Stegostoma tigrinum: one gene and its partners. The protein of the gene in region 1 purifies or fractionates together with the protein of each later gene. This does not show direct contact. Links are inferred from orthologs where the notes say so. Each region holds a gene or a part of one and is shown in the gene's direction. Other genes may lie near its edges. The genes, in order: cytochrome c oxidase subunit 6B1-like, cytochrome b-c1 complex subunit 7 and mitochondrial intermembrane space import and assembly protein 40-like.

The links.
Region 2: the proteins of cytochrome c oxidase subunit 6B1-like (region 1) and cytochrome b-c1 complex subunit 7 purify together in Homo sapiens (affinity purification with mass spectrometry; 3 studies listed by BioGRID and IntAct, counting the BioPlex papers as one, with this or other methods). This does not show direct contact. The link is inferred for Stegostoma tigrinum from reciprocal best matches to the Homo sapiens genes COX6B1 and UQCRB.
Region 3: the proteins of cytochrome c oxidase subunit 6B1-like (region 1) and mitochondrial intermembrane space import and assembly protein 40-like purify together in Homo sapiens (co-immunoprecipitation; 3 studies listed by BioGRID and IntAct, with this or other methods). This does not show direct contact. The link is inferred for Stegostoma tigrinum from reciprocal best matches to the Homo sapiens genes COX6B1 and CHCHD4.

The regions. Positions count from the first base shown.
Region 1 is NC_081376.1:6,942,113-6,950,165, forward strand, and holds the start of cytochrome c oxidase subunit 6B1-like, read left to right. Parts: upstream 1-5,050; 5' UTR 5,051-5,143; exon of another isoform or gene 5,144-5,182; intron 5,183-5,214; exon of another isoform or gene 5,215-5,350; intron 5,351-5,560; exon of another isoform or gene 5,561-5,670; intron 5,671-8,053. UniProt on the Homo sapiens protein: Component of the cytochrome c oxidase, the last enzyme in the mitochondrial electron transport chain which drives oxidative phosphorylation.
Region 2 is NC_081358.1:93,151,407-93,159,435, reverse strand, and holds the start of cytochrome b-c1 complex subunit 7, read left to right. Parts: upstream 1-4,955; 5' UTR 4,956-4,970; coding exon 4,971-5,031; intron 5,032-5,074; exon of another isoform or gene 5,075-5,170; coding exon of another isoform or gene 5,171-5,189; intron 5,190-8,029. UniProt on the Homo sapiens protein: Component of the ubiquinol-cytochrome c oxidoreductase, a multisubunit transmembrane complex that is part of the mitochondrial electron transport chain which drives oxidative phosphorylation.
Region 3 is NC_081364.1:2,799,710-2,807,613, reverse strand, and holds the start of mitochondrial intermembrane space import and assembly protein 40-like, read left to right. Parts: upstream 1-4,851; 5' UTR 4,852-4,977; coding exon 4,978-4,999; intron 5,000-7,904. Other genes in the region: transmembrane protein 43-like, read right to left, coding at 2,248-2,394, 3,255-3,269.

The DNA.
Region 1 (8,053 bases):
CCCATCGTGACCAGAGATGTGCAGGTGGGACAAATTAGCTGTGGGAAATGCAGGGTTACAGAGATAGGGTAGGGGGGTGGTGGGTCTGGATGGGATGCTGATCAGAGGGTGGTGTGGACTCGATGGGCCAAATGGCCTGCTTCCACACTGTAGGGATTCCATGATTCTACTGGTGGAAGGGATGGAAACTCTAACACCCCCCCAAGCATATCTTATAATCCCAGAGGCTGCTGTGGCAGTGTCCTTGCCTTTGAGGCAGGTGACCTAGGTTCAAATCCCACCTGCTCTAGAGGTGTGTAATAACATTTCTCAACAGGTTATTTAAGGAAAAAAGAACATGCAGTTTGTAGACAGCCTGTAATTCTCTGAGAAGGTAATTAAGTTGCATTTCATATGGACTTACAAAGTGATAAAGATTCTGAAGTGAGATTAGTAAAGATGAGTGATCAGATAGAACAAGAGGTGTACACAAATGTTATTAGGCTTTTGATGGCAGAGAACTCTAGGATTGGAAAGAAAAGAAAGATTGAAATAATTCACGGATGCATTTTGATGAAATTGCTCAAGTACAAAGTGAAACATCTCAAGAAAGGTGACAATAAACAGGGAAGTGTTTTATTAAATTAGCAAATCGTGAATACGTTCAGAGATATTAAGAAGTGCTGATGCTGGAGTCAGAGACAACATGCGTCGGGGCCCTTCTTCAGAAATAAGATCTGCACTGGAGAACTGTTGCTCCAAACATCTGTCACCCAGGAAACAACAGACAGGCAGAGCTAATTAATGAAAATAATTTAGCAATTATTATTAATATACCCTGGTAGATGTGCACCCAGTCATACTGAGTTCTGCATACACTGGAATTACAATGAGAACACTTTACTGAGGAGGCAGCAATCAAAGTTTACGCACATTTGGAATATAGCATGGTTGCCCTCAAACAAAAGATGCAGATGATGAGAAAGGATCATGACAATTTTATGTCTTGGAGACTAAAATCAGAAGAAAGGCTCAAGGAGCTTAACATGAAGTTGTTAACAAAGACTCAGCAGAGACTATTTTTTGTATTACACCCACAGACAGAGAGAAAATCAAACTCTCTGCCATTCCCATTATCTCTGTAATTGTTTTCTCCTTTTACAGTAATATGTAACCCTTGGTATTGAACTGAAGTCTCACCTGCCTTCTCAAGTTGATATAAATAAACTCCATGTCCTTTCTTTTGTCTAGTCTCTTAGTCCCTGTTTATCCCACAATAAACAGCATTAAAACTGATAACCTAATCTTACTTCCAAGCTTTCATTATTTTTAAACAGAATCATTTAAAGTAAAACTTGCTGTGCCATGTTTAAAGATAATAAGTCACCAGGACCAGGCGAAATGCAGCATGGAGACTGAGTGAAGTCATGATGCAAATTACAAAGGCACTGGCCACAATCTTCCTATCCCCTGAGACACAGAGGTAATGTAGATGTAATGTAAAAATTATACCCCTGTTTGAAAAAATGTTTAAAAATACACCCAGCAACAACACAATAGACAGTTTAGCTTTGATAGTGAAAAAGCTGTCAGAAATAATAATCCTGGAGAAAATTAGCAGCCACTTGGACATCTACAAATTCAGGGAAGCTAGTATAGTCTTGTTAAGGGCAAATCATGTTTAATTAGTTTGGATTTTTCAATGAAACAACAGATGGTTGATGAGTTTCAGTTATGAAGGAAGACCAGACAGACTGGGCTGGTTTACCTTGGAACTGAGGAGACTGAGAGGGTACATGATTGAGATGTATATAATTTTGAGATGTGTAGACAGGGTTGGCAGGAAGAAACTTTCCCCCTTGACGGAGGGATGAATAACCCGGGAAATAGATTTAAGGCAAGGAGTGGAAAGCTTAGAGGAGACATGAGGGAAAATGTTTTCACCCATAGGGTAGTGGGAATGTGGTACTCACTGGCAATGGGGTGGTAGAGACAGAAACTCCCATGACATTTGAGAAGTATTTAGATGTGCACTTGGGATGCCAGAGCATATGGGCCAAGTACTAGAAAATGGGATTAGAATAGTTAGGTGATAACAAAATGTGAGGCTGGATGAACACAGCAGGCCAAGCAGCATCTCAGGAGCACAAAAGCTGACGTTTCGGGCCTAGACCCTTCATCAGAGAGGGGGATGGGGAGAGGGATCTGGAATAAATAGGGAGAGAGGGGGAGGCAGACCGAAGATGGAGAGTAAAGAAGATAGGTGGAGAGAGTATAGGTGGGGAGGTAGGGAGGGGATAGGCCAGTCCAGGGAAGACGGACAGGTCAAGGAGGTGGGATGAGGTTAGTAGATAGATGGGGGTGCATCTATCTACTAACCTCATCCCACCTCCTTGACCTGTCCGTCTTCCCTGGACTGACCTATCCCCTCCCTACCTCCCCACCTATACTCTCTCCACCTATCTTCTTTACTCTCCATCTTCGGTCCGCCTCCCCCTCTCTCCCTATTTATTCCAGTTCCCTCTCCCCATCCCCCTCTCTGATGAAGGGTCTAGGCCCGAAACGTCAGCTTTTGTGCTCCTGAGATGCTGCTTGGCCTGCTGTGTTCATCCAGCCTCACATTTTGTTATCTTGGAGTTCTCCAGCATCTGCAGTTCCCATTATCTCTAGAATAGTTAGGTGGTTGTTTTTGATGGGTGTGGACTCAATGGGTTGAGGGGCTTTTATTCTGTGCTACAGATCTCTATAACATTATCATGCGATGCATATGGTGTACATAGCATTCCAAAGGCATTCACTAAAATGCTACCTAACAGGCTTCTCATAAATGTAAAAGCTTGTGAAATAAAGAAGACATCGGCTGTGTGGTCATCTCAGGGAATAGCAGTGAATGCTTGGTCGTCAGAATGAGGCAGGATGATTAGTGAGTTTCCCAGTAGTCTGTGTTAGGTCTGCTGCTCTTCCTGACATACATTACTGCCTGGACTTGCGTGTGCAGGGGATAATTTCTACAACCACAGATGAAACAAAACTTGGAAGAATTGTGAAGTATGAAAAGAATAGCAATAACCTTCCAATAAGACATCAGCTGATGTAATGGTTATGTGGCCATGAAATTTAATGCAGAGATGTGTCAACTGGTCATTAAGGTAAGAAGAACAAGGAAACAATAGGATATAATACGAAAGAGGATGGTGGGGAGTGGGAGCGGGGGCAGGTGGTGGAGGTCGGTGGGGGGAGGCAATGGTGGCAGGGGAACCTAGAGTATATGGGCACAAACATTTAAAGGGGACAGAGTATCTTGAGTAACTGATTAATGAAGACATACAGGATCCTGCATTTCATCACTGGGGGTGTAGAACATAAAAGGATGGAAATTGTGATGAACCTTAAGAAAATACAGTTTCAGCCTCAGACAAGGTACATTAGGAAGGATGTGAAGACATTGCTGGACAGTTGCCGTAAAAGGGTTAATCAGAATAGTTTTGGGGAAGAAAGCTTCTGACCCAAAGGGTGACAAAGATATTAAGAATTGCTGATGCTGGAGTCAGAGACAACATGTGTCAGGACCCTTCTTCAGAAATAAGGTCTGAACTGTCTGAACAGTTTGTTCTTGAGAAGAGAATGTCAAGGGTGAGATTTGATGGTGATATTCAAAATCATGAGGGGTCTAGAAATGATAGACACAGGATTGTTTATATTTGCAGATGTGCAGGTTTGGTGGATTGGCCATAGGAAATTACCCTGTTGTGTTCAGGAATCTACAAATTAGGTGGATTAGCCATGGGAAGTGTAGGATTATGGGGATAGGGTAGGGGTGTGACCGGGTCAGGGTGGGATGCTCTGAGGGCTGGTGCAGTCTTGATGGGCCAAATGGCCTCTTTCCACACTAATAGGATTGTATGACTCCAGAAGAGAAGCAGAAGCCACCAATGTAAGATGATTGGCAAAAGACCCAGAGGTTACACAAGGAAAAGCTTTATTATTGTCAACAAAATAGAAGTAGGTTGAAACTTTTCCTCTTTGTCAGGACAAAACACAAGAATACAACATTTCAAACAATCACAATAATTTAGACTGCAGCAGGAAAACAAAGGGGAGATGAAAGAACTATGGATGCTGGAAATTGGAAACAGGAACACAAATTACTGGAGAAACTCAGCTGTCTGGCAGCATCTGTGGAGAGGAAACAGTTAACATTTCCAGTCCGCAGAGTCAACCCTCATTGGCTGAGGGGTTGCCAATGTGGAAACCAAGGTGAAAGTACAGGTTGCTCAAATTCCTGGGGAATTCTAACGAAGGTGCAAAGTTTCAACCTAAGGTAGTTTGGACCCAAAATAGAAATTGCTGGAAAAGCTCAGCTGGCCTGGCAGCACCTGTGGAGAGAAATCAGAGTTAACGTTTCGGGTCCCTGTTCTGAGGAATGGGTCACTGGACCCGAAACGTTAACTCTGATTTCCCTTCAAAGATGTTATCAGACCTGCTGAGCTTTTCCAGCAGAGATAATGGGAACTGCAGATGCTGGAGAATCCAAGATAATAAAATGTGAGGCTGGATGAACACAGCAGGCCAAGCAGCATCTCAGGAGCACAAAAGCTGACGTTTCGGGCCTAGACCCTTCATCTCTGTGCTCCTGAGATGCTGCTTGGCCTGCTGTGTTCATCCAGCCTCACATTTTATTATCTTGGATTCTCCAGCAATTTGTTTTTGTTTCGTATTTGCAGCATCTGCAGTTCTTTAGGTTTTCCTTTACTTTGAACAGAGGGTCTCTAAATTGATACAATGATTTCTCATTTTGAGGCTTATTAATTTTGTATTAATAGGGTGTTAAACTGCATGCACTCTCTGACCAGGCCTGTAGCGGTGCTAAATACTCCAAATAATGAAATGTGGTTAATGATTAATCGCATTTTTTTTGGAACTAGCCCTCACATACATCCTTTATTTAATAGTTGAAATTCTGTCTATACAAACACTGCATTCACACCTTTGTTTTACATTCCGCTGCATGTTGCAATCACGACTGGAATGTTGTTACATTAATTTACTTGCTTCTCACCGCCCCCCCCCCCGCCACAGTTCCTGTTCCGGGTAAACGATTTCCTCCATTTTCAAATAAAACGTTTAGAACAGTAGTTGTAGATTTGTTTCAGGCTGATACAATGTAAGTAAGCATCTCGATCAGAAACGAGTTCTTAAATTGGTGAGTTATTTTGGAGTGAGTGAGTATTTAGGTTTGGCAATGGGTGGGGTGTATTGAACTTCTGCTGTAGGACGCCATGCAGCGTTAGTGAGCAGACACAGTGTAACTAACACGGAAGTGAAGTGTAGCCGTTTTTCGAGCACATTTCTCTGTCGCTTTGGATTACAGGTAGGACGTGGTCTTTTCCAGACACGGAGCAGCCAAACGCACAGAAATGATGTTAGACGTTTGCAGCCTGGTTTGAAAGCCTCCGCATCTTTCAAGATTGAATCCTTTTTGAGTAGGCTAGGGAAGCAGGAACCTGCTTTCGCTTTGAGATTTTAATTAGCGCCTAAGCGAGGCGGCGCTCTGCATTGTTGCACCAAACCGAGCGGGGTTTACATTATTTCAGGCTGTGAAAGGTCGCTTAGAGAACTCTGCATTCACAGTGAAATTTCGTACACAGTTGCTATTTCAGCTCAGTGGGGACCCGTTCCTGCTGTATGCAGGTAAATTACAGAGGGAGACTTTCCATCCTTTTTTTTGTGAACCCTGGTTTGTCCTTCTCAATGTCACTGCAGGCCTGGATTGGATTGACCTTGTGAGGGTAGAGGACAGTGTCGGAGGTGAACTGGTGGTGTTGGGAGCTGTAGGCCCCAGAGGGGGTGGGGAGGTGTGTGTGGAGGGAGGGTGGCGGGGTGACTGAAGCGGACACTGATTACAGCCTGGCGTAGATGGAATTTGAATTTGAATGTGAGCAATAGAAATTGATCTGGCTTCATTTCTGCTCTTTCTTCACAGCACAATTCCTGTTCAGAGCTTTTGTTTCAGATTTTTGACCAAAACAGCTTTGACTTGCTGTATGCAGAAGGACCCTGCCATTAGCTGGGTCAGAGTGGATTGACACGTCAGAAAAGTACCCTTAAGATAATAGGAACTGCAGATGCTGGAGAATCTGAGATAACAAAATGTGGAGCTGGATGAACACAGCAGGCCAAGCAGCATCTCAGGAGCACAAAAGCTGATGTTTTGGGCCTAATCCTTCATCAGACAAAGGGGAGGGGGAGAGGGTTCTGAAATAAATGGGGAAGGGGGGGAAGCAGAGGTGGATCGAAGGTGGAGAGGAGGCAGACAAGTTAAAGAGGTGGGGATGGAGCCAGAAGAGGTGAGTGTTGGTGGGGAGGGGATAGGTCAGTCTGGGGAGGATGGACAGGTCAAGGAGGTGGGATGAGGTCAGTAGGTAGGAAACGGAGGTGCACCTTGAGGTGGGAGGAGGGGATAGGTAGGCAGGCAGGGACAAGCTGGGTTTCCCAAAACCTCAAGCCGCACCTCCACTTCCTACCTACTAACCTCAACATGCCCCCCCCCCCCCCCCCCCCCCCCGACCTGTCCATCCTTACAGCAGAAAAGTACCCTACGCGGTTTGGTTAAGCTATGGCCCCTAGGCTTATTTCTGGTCAGCTTGTGCAGAGATATTATGGCCCATGTCTGGAGCAGGCGGGATGAAAACTGACTCGGGGCTAAAGGTAAACAGACTTTACCTTTAAAGTTACCATAGCCTCGCCAGAGCATCGTTAGAGAGAAATGACTGAGGGTTGTTTAACCTGAGGGGTAACCACGCCTCGTGAGAAAGGGAGAGATTGAGGAGAGTCCTTCATAATAACCTGTTGCTGTCACTGCATTGCAAACCAGTTGTCCAGCCAACTGATCTCTCCAACTCTGAGTTCGGGATGCTCCCAGTACGCTATAAGAGCCCTTTGGCAGGGGGGTTTTTGTTGGAGGTGTCTTTATGTTTTGTGCTGGCTACAGTACAGCTGAAGAAAGGATAAGGTTCTGAGGTTGGGACAATTGGTAAGAATGAAAGGAGAAGAGTGAATGATGAACTGAAGACTAGTCATAGAGCTGTACAGCTCAGAAACGGACCCTTTGGTCCAACTTGTTCATGCCAACAAGATATACCATGATTAATTTAGTCCCATTAATTAGCATTTGGCCCATATCCCTCTTAAACCTTACTGTTCATGTACACATTACTCAGAGGGAATACTGCCAACTGAATGAGTGATCTGGAGGCAGATGGAGATGTGGACTTCCATTTAACATTTATGCCTGAGTCGTTTGGGTTCCTTAGCATCCAGAGTTGGCTCACATAGAACCAACACTTAAGTACTTCCTTTTATTGTAAAATATTAATAGTATCCACATTTTAAATGGGTTTGAACTTTCCCAAGTGCTGATGTTACTGTAACAGTGACACCAGATGCACACTGGGTTGGTGAGCACAGCACTAACATTGTGGTTTCTGCCCATTTTGTCACAGCACTTCACTGCCATGCTCGTGTTTCTGTCCAAGGTCTGCTGCGGTTTCAGTGAACCCAGAAACAAGCTGGAGGAACAGCACCTCCTTTTCCATTTGGGTTCTTCATAGTCTCTGGAATCAATATTGAGTTCAACAATTTACAGACCACAAAAATTATTTCCCTCCGTTCAATTCCTCCCACCTCTCAAGCAACTAGTTTTCTGTATTTGGTAGAACTGAGCTACATTCTACTATTAACATTCACCTAGCCCACCTCTCTCTCCTCCACATTCATTGCCTTTTGTTTTATAATGCTGGTGGTGTCTAACCTTGCTCATTCTGTAACCATGTCCCCTCCTCCCCCTTCTGGTCCACTTGCTATTCTGAATTTCTTTCTATCATATAAAACCTATCCCCTTTCCCTGCCCCTCTCAAGCTCAAAAGAATTTTGAAACTTTAACTGCTTATCTCTCCAATGCTGTCAGACCTGCTGAATTTCTCCAGCACTTTGTTTTTATTTCAGATTTCCAGCATATGTAGTAACATCCTTTAGTGTTATGACATTGCACTAGGCTCAAAGCAGGAGTTTAAGT
Region 2 (8,029 bases), on another chromosome or scaffold:
TAGGACCCTTTTAAAGATCAGAAAGGCTATCTATGTGTGGAACTGCAGGACATGGGGGAGATGCTAAACAAGTATTTTGCCTCAATGTTTACTTTGGAGAAGGATATGGATGATACAGAACATGGGGAAATAAATAGCGACATTTTGAAAAATGTCCATATTCCAGAAGAGGTGGTGCTGGATGCCTTAAAATGCATAAAGGTGGATAAATCCCTGGGACCTGATCAGGTGTACCCTACAACTCTGTGGGAAGTGAGAAAAAAGATGGCCCCATACTGAGATATTTGTATCGTCGACAGCCACAGATGAGGTGCCACAAGACTGGAGATTGGCTAACATGGTGTCACTATTCATGAAAGGTGGTAAGGAAAATCCAGGGAACGATAGACCGGGGTGAGCCTGACATTGGTGGTGGGCAAGTTGCTGGAGGGAATCTTAGGGGATAGGATTTACATGTATTTGGAATGGCAAGGACTGATTAGGGATGGTCAAAGTGGCTTTGTGAGTGGGAAATTGTATGTCACTAACTTGATTGAATTTTTTGAAGTGACAGACATTACTAATGAGGGCAGAGCAGTGGACATGCTCTGTATGGAATTCAGGAAGGCATTCAACAAGGTTCCTCATGATAGACTGGTTAGCAAGGTTAGATCATATGGAACAGGGGGAGAACCAGCTGTTTGGACGCAGAACTGACTCAAAGGTAGAAGACAGAGGGTGGTGATGGAGGGTTGCTTTTCAGACTGGAAGCCTGTGACCTGTGGTGTGCTACAAGGATCAGTGCTGAGTCTACTGCTTTTCATCATTTTATGTAAATGATTAGGATGTGGACCGAGGAGATATGGTTAGTAAGTTTGCAGATCGGAGGTGTAGTGGACAGCAACAAAACCCTCAGAATACAAGGGGACCTCAATCAATCCAGCCAAGGGGCTGAGGAGTAGCAGATGGAGTTTAATTTAAATAAATTGAGGTTCGACATTTTGGAAAGGCAAACCAGGGCAAATCTTATATACCTAACGGTAAGGTCCTGGAGAGTTTTGCTGAGCAGAGAGGTCTCGGAGTGCAGGTTCACAGTTCCTTGAAAATGAATTTGCAGATAGACAGGATAGTGAAGAACTAAGGTTCCCCACGGCAGGCTCATTCATAAAGTTGGGAGATATGGGATACAGGGTGATTTGGCTGTCTGGATTCAGAATTGGTTGGCTGACAGGAGGCAGAGAGTGGTTGTAGATGGTAAGTATTCTGCCTGGAGGTCAGTGCTGAGTGGTGTCCTGCAGGGGTCTGTTCTTGGGCCTCTGCTCTTTGTAGTTTTTATAAATGACTTGGATGAGGATGTTGAGGGGTGGGTTAGTATGTTTGCTGATGACACAAAGGTTGGAGGTGTCGTTGATAGTATCGAGGGCTATTGCAGGCTTCAGCGAGACATTGATAGTATGCAGAGCTGGGCTGAGAAATGGCAGATGGAGTTCAACGTGGATAAATGCGAAGTGATGCATTTTGGAAGGTCTGACTTAAATGATGAATATAGGATTACAGGCAGGATTCTTGGCAGTGTGGAGGAACAGCAGGACCTTGGTGTTCAAGTGCATTGCTCCCTCAAAGTTGCCACACAAGTGGATAAGGTTGTTAAGAAAGCGTATGGTGTTTTGGCTTTCATTAACAGGGGGATCGAGTTTAAGAGCCGCGAGGTTTTGCTGCAGCTGTACAAAACCCTGGTGAGACCACACTTGGAATATTGTGTCCAGTTCTGGTCGCCCTATTATAGGAAATATGTGGAGGCTTTGGAAAGGGTGCAAAGGAGGTTTACCAGGATGCTGCCTGGACTGGAGGGCTTGTCTTACGAGGAGAGGTTGACTGAGCTTGGACTTTTCTCACTGGAGAGAAGGAGGAAGAGAGGGGACCTGATCGAGGTGTACAAGGTAATGAGGGGCATGGATAGAGTTGATAGCCAGAGACTTTTCCCCAGGGCAGGACTGACTGCCACGAGGGGTCATAGTTTTAAGGTGTTAGGTGGAAGGTATAGAGGAAGACGTCAGAGGAAGGTTCTTCACTCAGAGAGTTGTGAGTGCATGGAATAGTTTGCCAGTGGTAGTCGTGGAAGCGGAGTCATTAGTGACATTTAAGCGACTGCTGGACATGCACATGGACAGCAGTGAATTGAGGGGAATGTAGGTTAGGTTATTTTATTTTTGGATTAGGATTAATCCATGGCACAACATCGTTGGCCAAAGGGCCTGTACTGTGCTGTACTTTTCTATGTTCCATGTTCTAAGGCGCTTGATCAATGGAGAGTCAGAAACTGAGGGGGGTGACCTTACAGAGGCTTATGAAATCATGAAGGTCATGGATACGGTAAACAGACAAGGTCTTTTCCCCAGGGTAGGGAAACTAGACCGTGCAGGTTTAACATGAGAGGGGAAAGATTTAAAGGGATCTAAGGGGCAACTTTTTCACAGAGGATGATACGTGTATGGAATGAGCTTCCAGAGGACTTGACAGAGGCTGTTACTATCGCTAGATTTAAAAGGTATTTGGATGGGTATATGAACAGGAAGGGCTTAAAATGATATGGGCCAAGTGCTGGCAAATAGGACTAGATTAATGTCGGATATCTGGTCAACACGGATGAGTTGCACTGAAGGGTCTGTTTCTCTGCTCAATATCTCTATGACTCTGAGATCTGGAAAAGTGAAGCCTTCTCCAGTGTATCAACAGTCCAGTATGAGAAAAACACACGTTGACAAAGTATGCAGACCATCCTCCCAAGCAGTGCAGGAATGGGGAATTCTAGTCCTAAACACCAGCTGGCTCCCAAGCTCATCTTTGGGATCACAGAATAGTAAAAACACGGAAGGCAGCCATTTGTCTCACCGTGTCTATGCTAGCTCGTGAAAAAGTTACCAATTTGTCCTACTCTGCCAATCGTTCCCCATAGCCATGCAGATATTAATTCAATTTTCCTTTGAATATTATGATTAAAATTGCTGCTACCACTACTACCCTTAAAGCTGTGTATACGGAACCATCGTCACTCACCACGCCAAAAACAACTGGGTCACACTGGGTGCTTCTGGTAATTACCTTTACAATTATTTTCTACTTATCAAAAGATATATGGGTAGACATGGAACATTTAGCCCATCAAGTCTGCTCTGGCATTCAATGAGATCATGGCTTATATGACAATCCTCACTGTTCTGTCTTATCCCAATAACCCTTTATTCTTTTATGAGTAAAAACTTATCTAACTCAGCCTTGTCAATACTTAATGATCCAACCTTGACAGTTCTCTCTACAGTACAGAATGCCCCAGATTCACTATTCTGAGAAGAAATTCCTTCGCATCTCTGTCTTAAATGGGCAACCTATGGTCCTAGACTCTTCCCACAAGGGGAAACAACTTCTCTCCATCTATCCTGCTAAATGTCTCAAGAAGGTCTCCTGTCAATCTTAAAAACTTTAAATAAATACAAGCTTCCTTGTTCTCCTTCAATCATAAGTTTAGAAATGGAGAAGTTCATTGATGATTTCACAGTTTCAGTGCTATTCGCTACTGTTTACACACTGAAACAGTCCGTGAACATATGCAAAAAGACCTAGACAGCATCCAGGCTTGCGCTGATAATTGAAAAGTAGTATTTCCACTACATAAATGCTGCACAATAATCTTCTCAAACAAAACAGAATCTAACACTGTCCTGTGACATTCAACGGCAGTACAATCACTGAATCCTTACTATCAAAATTTGTACCATTGATAAAAAACTGAAGTAGAACGCCCTGTAGTTACAAGAGAAGGTTAGAGGCAAGGAATTTTGTGGTGTTTGTCGAATTTTATTTTCTGCCTCCCAAAGTCTGAACACCATTTACAAATCAGGACTAAGATGAAATGTTCTCCATACGCTGCCCTGACAATATTTAAGAAGCGCAACGCCATTCAGGAAAAAAAAAATGCCCCCTTGATTGGCACACCATCCAACAACTTAAATATTCCCTCCCTCCACTACTGTTACACTGTAGTAACGGTGTGTATAAAATGCACTGCAACAACTTGCCCTGGCTTATTTGCCAACACCTTCCAAACCCATGAACTCTTAATGCCTGGAAGGAGAAGGAAGCAGATGCATGGAAACACCACCACTTGCAAGTTCCCTACAAGCCCCACATGCAATCCTGCCTTAGAAATACATCACCACTCCTTCTGTGTTGTTGAATCAAACTCCTGGAACTTCCTTTCTAAAAGAACCTACACCGCAAGCACTGGTGCATTCAAGCCAGCTCATCATCAACTTCTCCAGGCCCTCACAGACGTGGAATAAATCCTGGCCAAGCAACCAATGCCCACATCTTATAAACAAAACGACATCAGTGCAAACACAGGACAGCTGCAAATATTTGTAATGTAACTATGAGATGTTGTTCCTTGAGCTTGACTGTATTGAATGCATGTAGATGCTTTGTGTTCAAAAGCAGAAAACTAATGCCATAAATGACAGAAATCTAGATCTACACATCCATAAACTCCTGGACAAAGGCACTAATATTGCTTGGGGCTGTGGAATTAATTTTTCTTCTGTGCTTAGTTTCTTTCATCTTTGGTGCAGTTTGTGGCTTGAGCGCTGTATCTATGAATGCTGTCCTTTCCCCCTACAATCCATCGGGTCCCGACCGTGGTTGGTTAGTGATGGGAGAGGTACCAGGTCTATCCTGGCGTCAGTGACCTGCTCCAGTAGCTGTCTCCTGCAGTGACTCTCTTGACATTGAGATCTAGCGGAGGAGAGGAACAACTTGTGTTTACAGCCCGGGAGCTACACTGTTCGCCATTGCCATGCGAAGAAATTAATGAAAACTTGCATTGTATTACTGCCTAACAAGGTGATTTCGCCGTCAGTCCCATACTCACTGGAAAGCACCAAACCCGGAACAGACACCACTTATACGGGGAAAAGGCACGTACGCATGCGCGGACGATGCCGGCGTACGATCTTTGGCCCACGCGCAGTCATTGTGACTCACATCGGGCACGTGCATGTAAGTCGGGTCGGCGCTGTCCTTCCGATCGAGTGCGTGTAAATACGTTAAACCGCGGTCACGCGACGCGTTTACGTTACATCTTTGCGCCGCAACTTTTGACGGGTGGCGCAGTCGCATTGAGCTCCTAAGCAGCAAGATGGCGGCTAGAGCCCCAGGTGAGGGAGAACGGGAAGGGGAGAGGGAAACAGTCCGGCTATGCATAAAGTTCCTGGCGCTTTCTACGTGGAGTTGGTGAGAGAAGTGGGCACCTTAGCCTGTCTCTGAGAGGGATGTGTGGGGATCCTCCGGGGACGGGTGGGGGAGGTAAGGTGACTGCGGGGTCCCGACCGTGGTTGGTTAGTGATGGGAGAGGTACCGGGTCTATCATGGCGTCAGTGACCAGCTCCAGTAGCTGTCCCCTGCAGTGACTCTCTTGACATTGAGATCTAGCGGAGGAGAGGAACAACTTGTGTTTACAGCGTTCAAGGTGACCCCAGCGGAAATCGCGACCGGAAGCTGGAGACTCTGCTCCTCACTGCAATTCGGCCGAGCGTATCAATACTGCCTCTTTTGGTGGCTTTTCCTGGATTTTCCTCCTTTTGAGTATTTATTCAACTCTTCCTTGAAAATTACTGTTAAGTTTATTTTCACCATTCCTTCGGGTAGAATATTCCAGATAATTTGGCGGTTGGGATAAATACATTCAGTTGTCAGTAGTAGTACTTAATGTTTTTAAATGTGTTTTTTTTCTCCTTGGCGCTCGTGTAACGTGTTGGGAATATCCCTGCCTCTGAGCCAAGAGACTTGGGTTCAACTGCCACCTGTTCTTCTAAGTCACTGCCCTTTAGTTGCTGAGAGTTTCTCCTTACTGCTTTTTAAAAAAATTGTTCAAAGTATATGGGAGTTGCTGGTTGTGCCAGCATTTATTCCCTAACCCTGGATGCCCTTGGAAGGTGGTGGTGAGCTGCCTTTTTTAAAAAAAAGAGCCACACCTTATTTGTTTTATGCAGACCAATAATGTTGTTAGGGAAGGTGTTCCAGAATTTTGAACCAGTAACACAGACAAGGTAGTGATGTTTTTTCCAAGTCAGGGTGATTAATGTCTTGGAAGGGAACTCCTCACGTGATGCTGTTTCCATACATCTGTTGTCTTTGTCCTTTTTAGCTGGTAGTATTGTGGGTTTTGAAGCTGTTATCTTAAGCCCAATTCAATTTCTGTAGTGCATCTTGCAGATGGTACAAACTGTTACTGTTGGAGAGAGTGAATGGCACCACATCCAAAAACAATCAAGCAAGCTGCTATGCCTTGGAAGGTGTCAAGCTTCTTGTTGACACTAATCCAGTCAAATAGGAAGTGTTCCATCAAGTTCCTGACTTGTGGCTTGGGGAGCCGGCATTGTGCTGTGCAGTTGTTTGACCGGTCTTATAGCCATTGAATGTGGCTAGTTCATTTCAGTTTCTGTTCAGTGGTAACAGCTAGGATGTTGACAGTGGGTGATTCTGTGATAATAATGCCTATGAATGTTAAGAGACAATGATTTAGATTCTCCTTTTTTAGATATGGCCATTGCCTTGCACTTGTCAGCTCAAACCTGGATGTTGTCCATGTCTTGCTGCATTTGGACGTGGACTGCTTCAGTGTTGGACAAGTTGTGAATGATGTTGAACGTCGTGTAATCATCAGAAAACATCCCACTTCTGACCTTTGTGGGCAATGTCATAATAAAGCAACTGAAAATGCTTGAGCCTGGAGCGCTACCCTGAAGAACTCGTGCTGCGATAACTGACCTCCAACAACCATAACTGTTTCTTTTGTGCTAGGTATGACTCCAACCAGCAGACAGTATCCCTGATTCCCATTGCCTCTGGTTTTGCGAAGTCTCTTGACTCTGTGCTTCGTTTCACAGTGCCAGGGACCCCGTTCAATTCCACCCTCTCGTCACTGTGCAAACTGCACACAGACATTCTCCCCATGTCTGTATGGATCTCCTCTTGTTACTCTGGTTTCCTCCCACAGTCCAAAGCTGTGCAATTTAGGGGAATTGGCCATGCTAAATTGCCCATAGCCAACCTACACATCCTTGAATGCTATGGGAAGTGCAGGGTTACCGGGATATAGTGGGGGTATGGGTCTGGGTAGGATATTCTTCAGAGGGTCATTGAGTGTGGACCCATTGGGCTGAATGGCCTGTTTCCACACTTTGGTGATTCAATGATTCATTATTACTGGCATATGTACTGAGATACTATGAAAAATATTTTATGTGCTAATCAGACAAATCATTACTTATATAATTACATTAGGGTAATTGAACAGAATGCAGAATATCATCTTCAGCTACAGAGAAGGTGTAGAGAAAGATCAACTGTAACATGAGAGGCCACACACAGTTAAATGGAGTCTCAATATCAAGGGCAGTCATTTTCACCTTACCTTGGGATTTCAGCTCTCTTGTCCATTTTTGAACTAAGCCTGTTCTGAGATCAGGCACCAAGTGGCCCTTGTGTAACCCAAACCTTTATCAAACCTGTTGGGAGGACAACCTCAATCCCTCATCCTTAGTTATATCTCACTAAAGTCTTCTGCATCCTTTTAAATGCTTTGGCATTTCTTCTAAATTTAGGTTCCAAGAATTATGCGCCTTGCTCCAGATAAAGCCCAAGTAATGTTTGAGTAATGTTTAATGTTCTTTCTTAGTCAGATAAAGTTAAGGATCCTTTAGTGACTTTTTGTAATCTCTTCTATTGAGCTACTGCCTTCAAAGATAGGGGCACGTGCGCCCTGCTCTTCACCTGCACCATACAACCTCTTCACCCCTCACCTCTCGACCAAACCTCTGTCTCAGTTCTCACCCATAAAACTATGCCGCCTAATTGATAACAAATAGAAATTGCTGGAGAAACTCGGTAGGTGTGATAGCACCTGATGAGTCACTGCACCCAAAATGTTCACCCTATTTTCTCTCCAGAGATGCTGCCAGACCTTCTCATTTATTTCAGCAATTTGTTTTTGTTC
Region 3 (7,904 bases), on another chromosome or scaffold:
CATAAACTGATCACTGTACTCATTTGAGTACATGACAATAGAGTTAACTCAATTCAATTCAACATTTATTGTCCGTCCGTAGTTGCTCTCTTGAGAAGGTGGGGATGAGATGCCTTCAAGAGCCACTGCAGTCCATGTGCTGTGAGTTGACCCACAATGTCCCTTAGGGAGGGAATTCCAGGATTTTGGCACAGTGGCACTGAAGGAACGGGGATATATTTCCAAGTCAGGATGGTGAGGGGCTTGGAGGGGAACTTGCAGGGGATGGTGTTCCCACATACGGGGGTCACTGATTTACAAACACTCCTACTTACAAACACAATTCCATAAAGGGAGAAATTTTATACACCCAACACATGAACACTTCCTGAATTTAGGAACAGTTCCTCTACACTGTCCTTCACTGTGCTCCAATCTGGGTACAAGTCAGTTTGTGAATGGGGTCAGGACTGGGACCCATTCCCAACCCAGCGAGTGCCTGCATGTGCTACCGTTTTCTTTCCAGATGGTAACTGTTATGGTTTTAGGAGATGTTGTCAGAGGAGCCTTGTAAATAAACCTGCTTTTATAGAACTACATCAGCACAATATAAAATGTTCCAAGACATTTCACAAGAACGTAGATTAGAGAATAACCGTCACCCAGCAACATAAAAATGCAGCATTAGTGACCAAAATCTCAAACAGACCGGCATCTTAAAGGAGGATAGAGAGATAAAGAAAGAGACAATTAGAGAGGTTTATGGAGGGAATTCTAGAGTGTTGAGTCCAGACAGCTGTCGGTATAGCATTCAATGGCGGAGGGATTAAAATCACAGATACTCCAGGGATTAGAATTGGAGCGAGGCAGAGATATCGGAGGATTTGGGGACTGGAAGAGGTTACAGCAAGATGTAAAGTGCGAGTCTATGTTGGGTTCAAACAAGTGGTTGATGATTTTTTCAATGGAATTACCGTCAGACTGTGAGCAAAACGTTCATCAACAACACACATGGGCAATGTTCCTGGTAACTGCACCAAGCAGAATATTCTGTGTCACTGCCCTACCACGCTGCTGTGCCCAGTTTACAGGGAATACTAGTGAGCGGTAACCGGGACATGACAACATCTAGAAGAACTCAGATAGCCAGAGGAAGGAAGATGGTGTTATTTCAAGGGACTTCAACATTCTTAAGCACAAGATCACTTTTTGAGTTTTAGTGCAAACAAGAATCTACCTGAAAGAAAATAATGCATTTATTTTTAGTATATCTGATTATTCATTTTGTCTTCTACATATAGGCTCAGTATGTTATCCTCCTCTTTGAGTAGCCAAATTATAATTTGAACTAGCTAGTTCTATACAGTCCATCACACGGGCATTTGTGAGGCAGGTGAGATACTTGGACTTGATTATCTGTATTTGGGAGAATGCTGTCTCAGAGGGATGTGGTACCAAAGCTTTCATTGTAAAACCACAGGATAATAGCAGTGTGTATTTTTCTCTGTTTACAAATCTCCAAACATCACTGTCCCTTGTTCCAGCTTCCAGCTCAATATCATTTGGCACAGTTAATTATGTCCACTTCAATACCACGGACTTGTAAATCAAATACCTAATGGAATCTGATAGCCAGCCCAACAACGTCTACTTGAAGGAAGAGACCGGAGGGAGACATGACCGTTCATTCCAATGCATCTAATTCCTGAAATTAGCCTGTAGAAATGATCCCACATTGCTAAGTCTCTATCCTCTCTGTGCAGTTCACAGTTCAGCTCATTCAGCTTTGATCTTTTATCTGTAAGGAACATGAAGCCAAGTAACGACACATTGGCAGCTCACTGCACACCTCATTCCTTCTTGAGTGTTGTTAGAGCTGCATCCATCCAGGCAAGTGGGGAGTATTCCATCACACTCCTGACTTGTGCCTTTAGATGGTTAGATGTGTTTTGGGGAGTCAGGAGGGGAGTTACACACCGGTGTATTCCTAGCCTCTGACCTGCTCTTGTAGCCACGTTGTTTACGTTTTGTTGTGTATCAAATCCAGTTAAGTTTCACATCAACGTTCCTCATCATGCATTTTACAAAAACTATCACCTCAGATTCTTCTGTTTGCCCAGGTCCCTGATGTGGGATTTGAACCCATGAACTTCTGATTCAGAAATGAGCGCGAGCTACCCACTGAGCAACAGACACTGATACCACAAATTGAACAGGATAACTGATGCCTGCCCAGAAAACAGCATGTAATCCAACCTCTGCACCTACCTCATTGGTGAAGAGGAGGTAGAAGGACAAGGTGAAGATAAGCACTCCCACCACCATTCCCCCCATTGTCTCCCCAAGACGTTCCAGGAATCCCTGCTTCTTCTGATTTGTGACCTTCACGTGTTCATCCCTGCTGCCTCCTGGTTGCTGCAAAACCAGAAGGGACAAGCTTTCATGAATCTTTAAGTACCATCTTAAAAGCGAAATGAAGACAGATGAACTTTGTAAACATTTTCACGGGATGTGGAATAGTATTGGCTAGGCTGGCCATCTCTAAATTCCCTTCAAAATGTTGTCTGCCTTCATTAACTGCTGCAGGCCATTCAGTACAGGCACACCCAAAAACAGAAGGTGTTTAAACAACAGTGACACAATTTTTGATGTTGGGCTGTGGGCATTCCTGGTCAGACTGACATTTATTGCCCATTCATTTTACCCAGAACCAGTATAATTGAGCTGACTGACTTAGCTGAGGATCTTACACAGCATTTAAAATATAATCTTGACAAATGGGTCTGAAGTCATTTACACATCGTCAGTGACATCTCACTAACCAAGACTTGCACCCTCCCACCCATTATGTTTTGATTATAGTGCAGCATCATTTTGATTTGCTCTGGCACTGGCCAACAATTGTGCTGATTAGAAACAAAAAAAACAGCAACTGATGGAGAGTTGTTGGCTTCAGTCCAGGGCCATAGTAGACATAGGGAAGGGTTGGTGGTTCTGATTGGGGGGGGGGGGGGGGGGGGAGGTAGGGAGAAGGACTCTGGTTAGCCCCTTTGATTTTACAAGAAGAGATATCAGATCTCTTGCAAATATGCCAGGGAGATGGGAACTTTGTCTTCCTCAGGTTCAAAGCTGTGCCACGTGGATCTGGGCTGTCAGAATATAGAAGGGAACTCCCTTCCCCAGGAATATCTTCAGATGATAATGTGTCCAACGCCAATTCAGATTAATCTTCACCTGCACGTTGACAAGGCTGTTGTTTGTGGTTCTGAACTTACATTAGGCCTCACCATGGTTTCCCTGCCAATAACACACACTGAGGGGGGAGACCACAGTCAGCTCTAGCCCCTCTCACACCTTCACTTCCGGCTTCAAGGGGGATACATTCTGCGCCTGCGCACTCCTGAGGGACGGACCTACTCCCGTGAAGCTTGCCGGGAGATGGTGTCGACTCCCCAGGAATGCTGGGGATTGTAGTCTTACCTACCGGAGGATGCTGGGTGGTGGCCTCCCCGGGCTCCGCCTGGGAAGGTTAGGACCCTCCCGCAAGCATGCTGGGAGCTGTAGTTTTCTTCAGCTTGAACCTGGTCCCCAGGGAAAATGAAACCCCAGTATATAAATGACTTTATTCACCTGCATCCACTCATATTGAGGTGATTGCACAATTGTACTGAACATGGCCACACAAAATTTCAAGACCATCTTAGCTTGGAGCAGGGACAGCCCCTGACTTATACTGTCAAAACTTCTCAAAACTCACTTATACTGCCATTCTATAAGTTCATACTCATCCAATTGTGTCTTTCACTGCACTTTCCTGCTGGTCAATTCTACAGATTAATCACATGTTATTACATATTGTACAATATTTGAGCCTGTGGATTCTATAGATTAAAATAAAACAATGAATTACAAATGCTGGAAATCTAAAACAAAAATAGAAATTGCTGGAGAAACTCAGTAGGACTGACAGCAACTGTGGGAAGAAAGCACAGGGTCCAGAGACTCTTCATCAGAGCTGGTATGAGCCAGAAAAATGTGATATTTATGCTGAAGCTGAAGCTGGGAATCTGAAGGGGAGATGAGGGCGGATTGGTGGAGACGGAGCCCAGAGACAGAGATATGAAAGAGCTAGGTAGACAGGGAAATTACGGGTAGCAGGCCAGAATAGAAAAAAAACTGAATATGTGACAATGAGAGCTAAGAGTAGGAGAAAATCGGTGAGCTGTACAGAATGTAACCTAGTCTGCGTCACACAAACCGCTTTGCAGAAAACCAAGCTCTGTCTGCAAAAATGATCCTAAGCTTTCTGTTGCCTGCCACTTCAACACACCGCTGTGTTCTCATGCCAAAATTTCTGTTGCAGGCTTGCTGTAGAGTTCCAGCCAACCTCAATGCAAGGTCAAAGAACATCTTACTTTCCACTCGGGGATCTTGTGGCCTCTAGAACTCAACAATGAGTTCAATAACCTTAAGAGCCTAATACAGTCCGTCCATGCTTTTTACCCACAGCCACACCTGATTCTCTCAATGACCACAATCACCCATTCTCACAAACTCGTTGGTCCATTATAACTTAATAAATATTGTTTATTCAGTAGGTGGATGTGATGGATATTATACATTCCATAGGGTGGGTATTATGGACAATATACATTCCATAGGGTGGGTTTACGGAAAATATAGATTCTACAGGGTAGGTATTGTGGACATTATACATTCTAATGGATTAGTATGACGGACATTGTGCATTCTATAGGGTGTATGTTATAGATTCCATAGGGTAGGTGCTTTGGGCCGTCTCTGCGGCTTTAAATTGGGCCCCCGGTTCTGGCCCCGCCCTCTCGCTGTGATTGGTTCCTGCCTGTGGGTCAGAGGTCAGGCCGGGAGCACGGGCCGGAGACTGAGAAACACATTTCTTCCCCACCCCCCCGGACACGAACCCTCACACAGAGAGAGAGAGAGAGAGAGAGACAGAGAGAGAGACAGAGAGAGAGAGAGATGTCCCACTGCCGGCGGCACGGTGAGGGGCCGGGGGGGTGGGGAACGGAGGGTCAGGTGTGAGGGTGAGGGGGTGAGGGGGGTGAGGAGGGGGGTGGGGGAGGGGGGTGAGGAGGGGGTGAGGAGGGGGGTGGGTGAGGAGGGGGGTGGGTGAGGGGGTGGGGGAACGGAGGGTCAGGTGTGAGGGTGAGGAGGGGGTGAGGAGGGGGGTGGGTGAGGGGGTGAGGGGGGTGAGGAGGGGAGGGGGGTGAGGAGGGGGGTAGGGGAGGGGGGTGAGGAGGGGGGTGGGGGAGGGGGGTGGGTGAGGGGGTGGGGGTGGGGGAGGGGGGTGGGTGAGGGGGTGGGGGGGGTGAGGAGGGGGGTGGGTGAGGGGGGTGAGGAGGGGGGTGGGTGAGGGGGGTGAGGAGGGGGTGGGGGGGGTGGGGGGGGTGAGGGGGGTGAGGAGTGGGGGGGGTGAGGGGGGTGAGGAGGGGGGTGGGTGAGGGGGTGAGGGGGGTGGGTGAGGGGGTGAGGGGGGTGGGTGAGGAGGGGGGTGGGTGAGGAGGGGGGTGGGTGAGGGGGGTGGGTGGGGTGAGGGGGGTGGGTGAGGGGGGTGGGTGAGGTGAGGGGGGTGGGTGAGGGGGGTGGGTGAGGGGGGTGGGTGAGGTGAGGGGGGTGGGTGAGGGGGGTGGGGAGGGGGGGGGGGTGAGGAGGGGGGGGGGTGAGGAGGGGGGGAGGGTGAGGAGGGGTGTGAGGAGGGGGGGAGGGTGAGGGGGGTGGGTGAGGAGGGGGGGAGGGGGAGGGGGGGAGGGTGAGGGGGGTGGGTGAGGGGGGTGAGGAGGGGGGTGGGTGAGGGGGGTGGGTGAGGGGGGTGGGTGAGGGGGGTGAGGAGGGGGGGTGGGTGAGGGGGTGGGGGGGGTGGGGTGGGTGAGGGGGGTGAGGGGTGGGGTGGGTGAGGGGGGTGGGGTGGGTGAGGGGGGGTGAGGAGGTGGGGTGGGTGAGGGGGTTGAGGAGGTGGGGTGGGTGAGGGGGTTGAGGAGGTGAGGGGGTTGAGGAGGTGGGGTGGGTGAGGGGGGTGAGGAGGTGGGGTGGGTGAGGAGGGGGGTGAGGAGGTGGGGTGGGTGAGGAGGTGGGGTGGGTGAGGAGGGGGGTGAGGAGGTGGGGTGGGTGAGGAGGTGGGGTGGGTGAGGAGGGGGGTGAGGAGGTGGGGTGGGTGAGGAGGTGGGGTGGGTGAGGGGGTGGGGGGGGGTGAGGGGGTGAGGAGGGGGGTGGGTGAGGGGGTGGGGGGGGTGAGGAGGGGGGTGGGTGAGGGGGTGGGGGGGGTGAGGGGGGTGAGGAGGGGGGTGGGTGAGGGGGTGGGGGGGGTGAGGGGGGTGAGGAGGGGGGTGGGTGAGGGGGTGGGGGGGGTGAGGGGGGTGAGGAGGGGGGTGGGTGAGGGGGTGGGTGAGGGGGTGAGGGGGGTGAGGGGGTGGGGGGGGGGTGAGGGGGGTGGGGGGGGTGAGGGGGGTGGGAGGGGGGTGGGTGAGGGGGGTGGGTGAGGGGGTGGGTGAGGGGGTGGGTGAGGGGGTGAGGGGGGTGAGGAGGGGGGTGGGTGAGGGGGTGGGGGGGGTGAGGGGGGTGGGTGAGGGGGGTGAGGAGGGGGGGTGGGTGAGGGGGGTGAGGGGTGGGGTGGGTGAGGGGGGTGGGGTGGGTGAGGTGGGTGAGGGGGTGGGGTGGGGTGGGTGAGGGGGTGGGGTGGGGTGGGTGAGGGGGGTGAAGAGGGGGGTGAGGAGGTGGGGTGGGTGAGGGGGGTGAGGAGGTGGGGTGGGTGAGGGGGGTGAGGAGGTGGGGGGGGTGAGGGGGTTGAGGAGGTGGGGGGGGTGAGGGGGTTGAGGAGGTGGGGTGGGTGAGGGGGTTGAGGAGGTGAGGGGGTTGAGGAGGTGGGGTTGAGGAGGTGGGGTGGGTGAGGGGGTTGAGGAGGTGAGGGGGTTGAGGAGGTGGGGTTGAGGAGGGGGGTGAGGAGGTGGGGTGGGTGAGGAGGTGGGGTGGGTGAGGGGGGTGAGGAGGGGGGGTGGGTGAGGGGGGTGAGGAGGGGGGTGGGTGAGGGGGGTGAGGAGGGGGGTGGGTGAGGGGGGGTGAGGGGGGGTGAGGAGGGGGGGGTGAGGGGGGTGAGGAGGTGGGGTGGGTGAGGGGGGTGAGGAGGTGGGGTGGGTGAGGGGGGTGAGGAGGTGGGGTGGGTGAGGGGGTTGAGGAGGTGGGGTGGGTGAGGGGGTGAGGAGGGGGGTGAGGAGGTGGGGTGGGTGAGGAGGTGGGGTGGGTGAGGGGGGTGAGGAGGTGGGGTGGGTGAGGGGGGTGAGGAGGTGGGGTGGGTGAGGAGGTGGGGTGGGTGAGGGGGTGGGGTGGGTGAGGGGGGTGAGGAGGTGGGGTGGGTGAGGGGGGTGAGGAGGTGGGGTGGGTGAGGGGGGTGAGGAGGTGGGGTGGGTGAGGGGGGTGAGGAGGTGAGGGGGGTGAGGAGGTGGGGTGGGTGAGGGGGGTGAGGAGGTGGGATGTGTGAGGGGTGGGTGAGGGGGGTGAGGAGGTGGGGTGGGTGAGCGGGAGGTGGGGTGGGTGAGCGGGGGGTGAGGGGGGTGAGGAGGTGGGGGGGTGAGGGGGGTGAGGAGGTGGGGGGGTGAGGGGGGTGAGGAGGTGGGGGGGTGAGGGGGGTGAGGAGGTGGGGGGGTGAGGGGGGTGAGGAGGTGGGGGGGTGAGGAGGTGGGGGGGTGAGGGGGGTGAGGAGGTGGGGGGGTGAGGGGGGTGAGGAGGTGGGGGGGGTGAGGGGGGTGAGGAGGTGGGGAGTGAGGGGGGTGAGGAGGTGGGGGGGTGAGGGGTGTGAGGAGGGGGGGTGAGGGGTGTGAGGAGGGGGGGGTGAGGGGGGTGAGGAGGGGGGGGTGAGGAGGTGGGGGGGTGGGGGGGGTGAGGAGGTGGGGGGG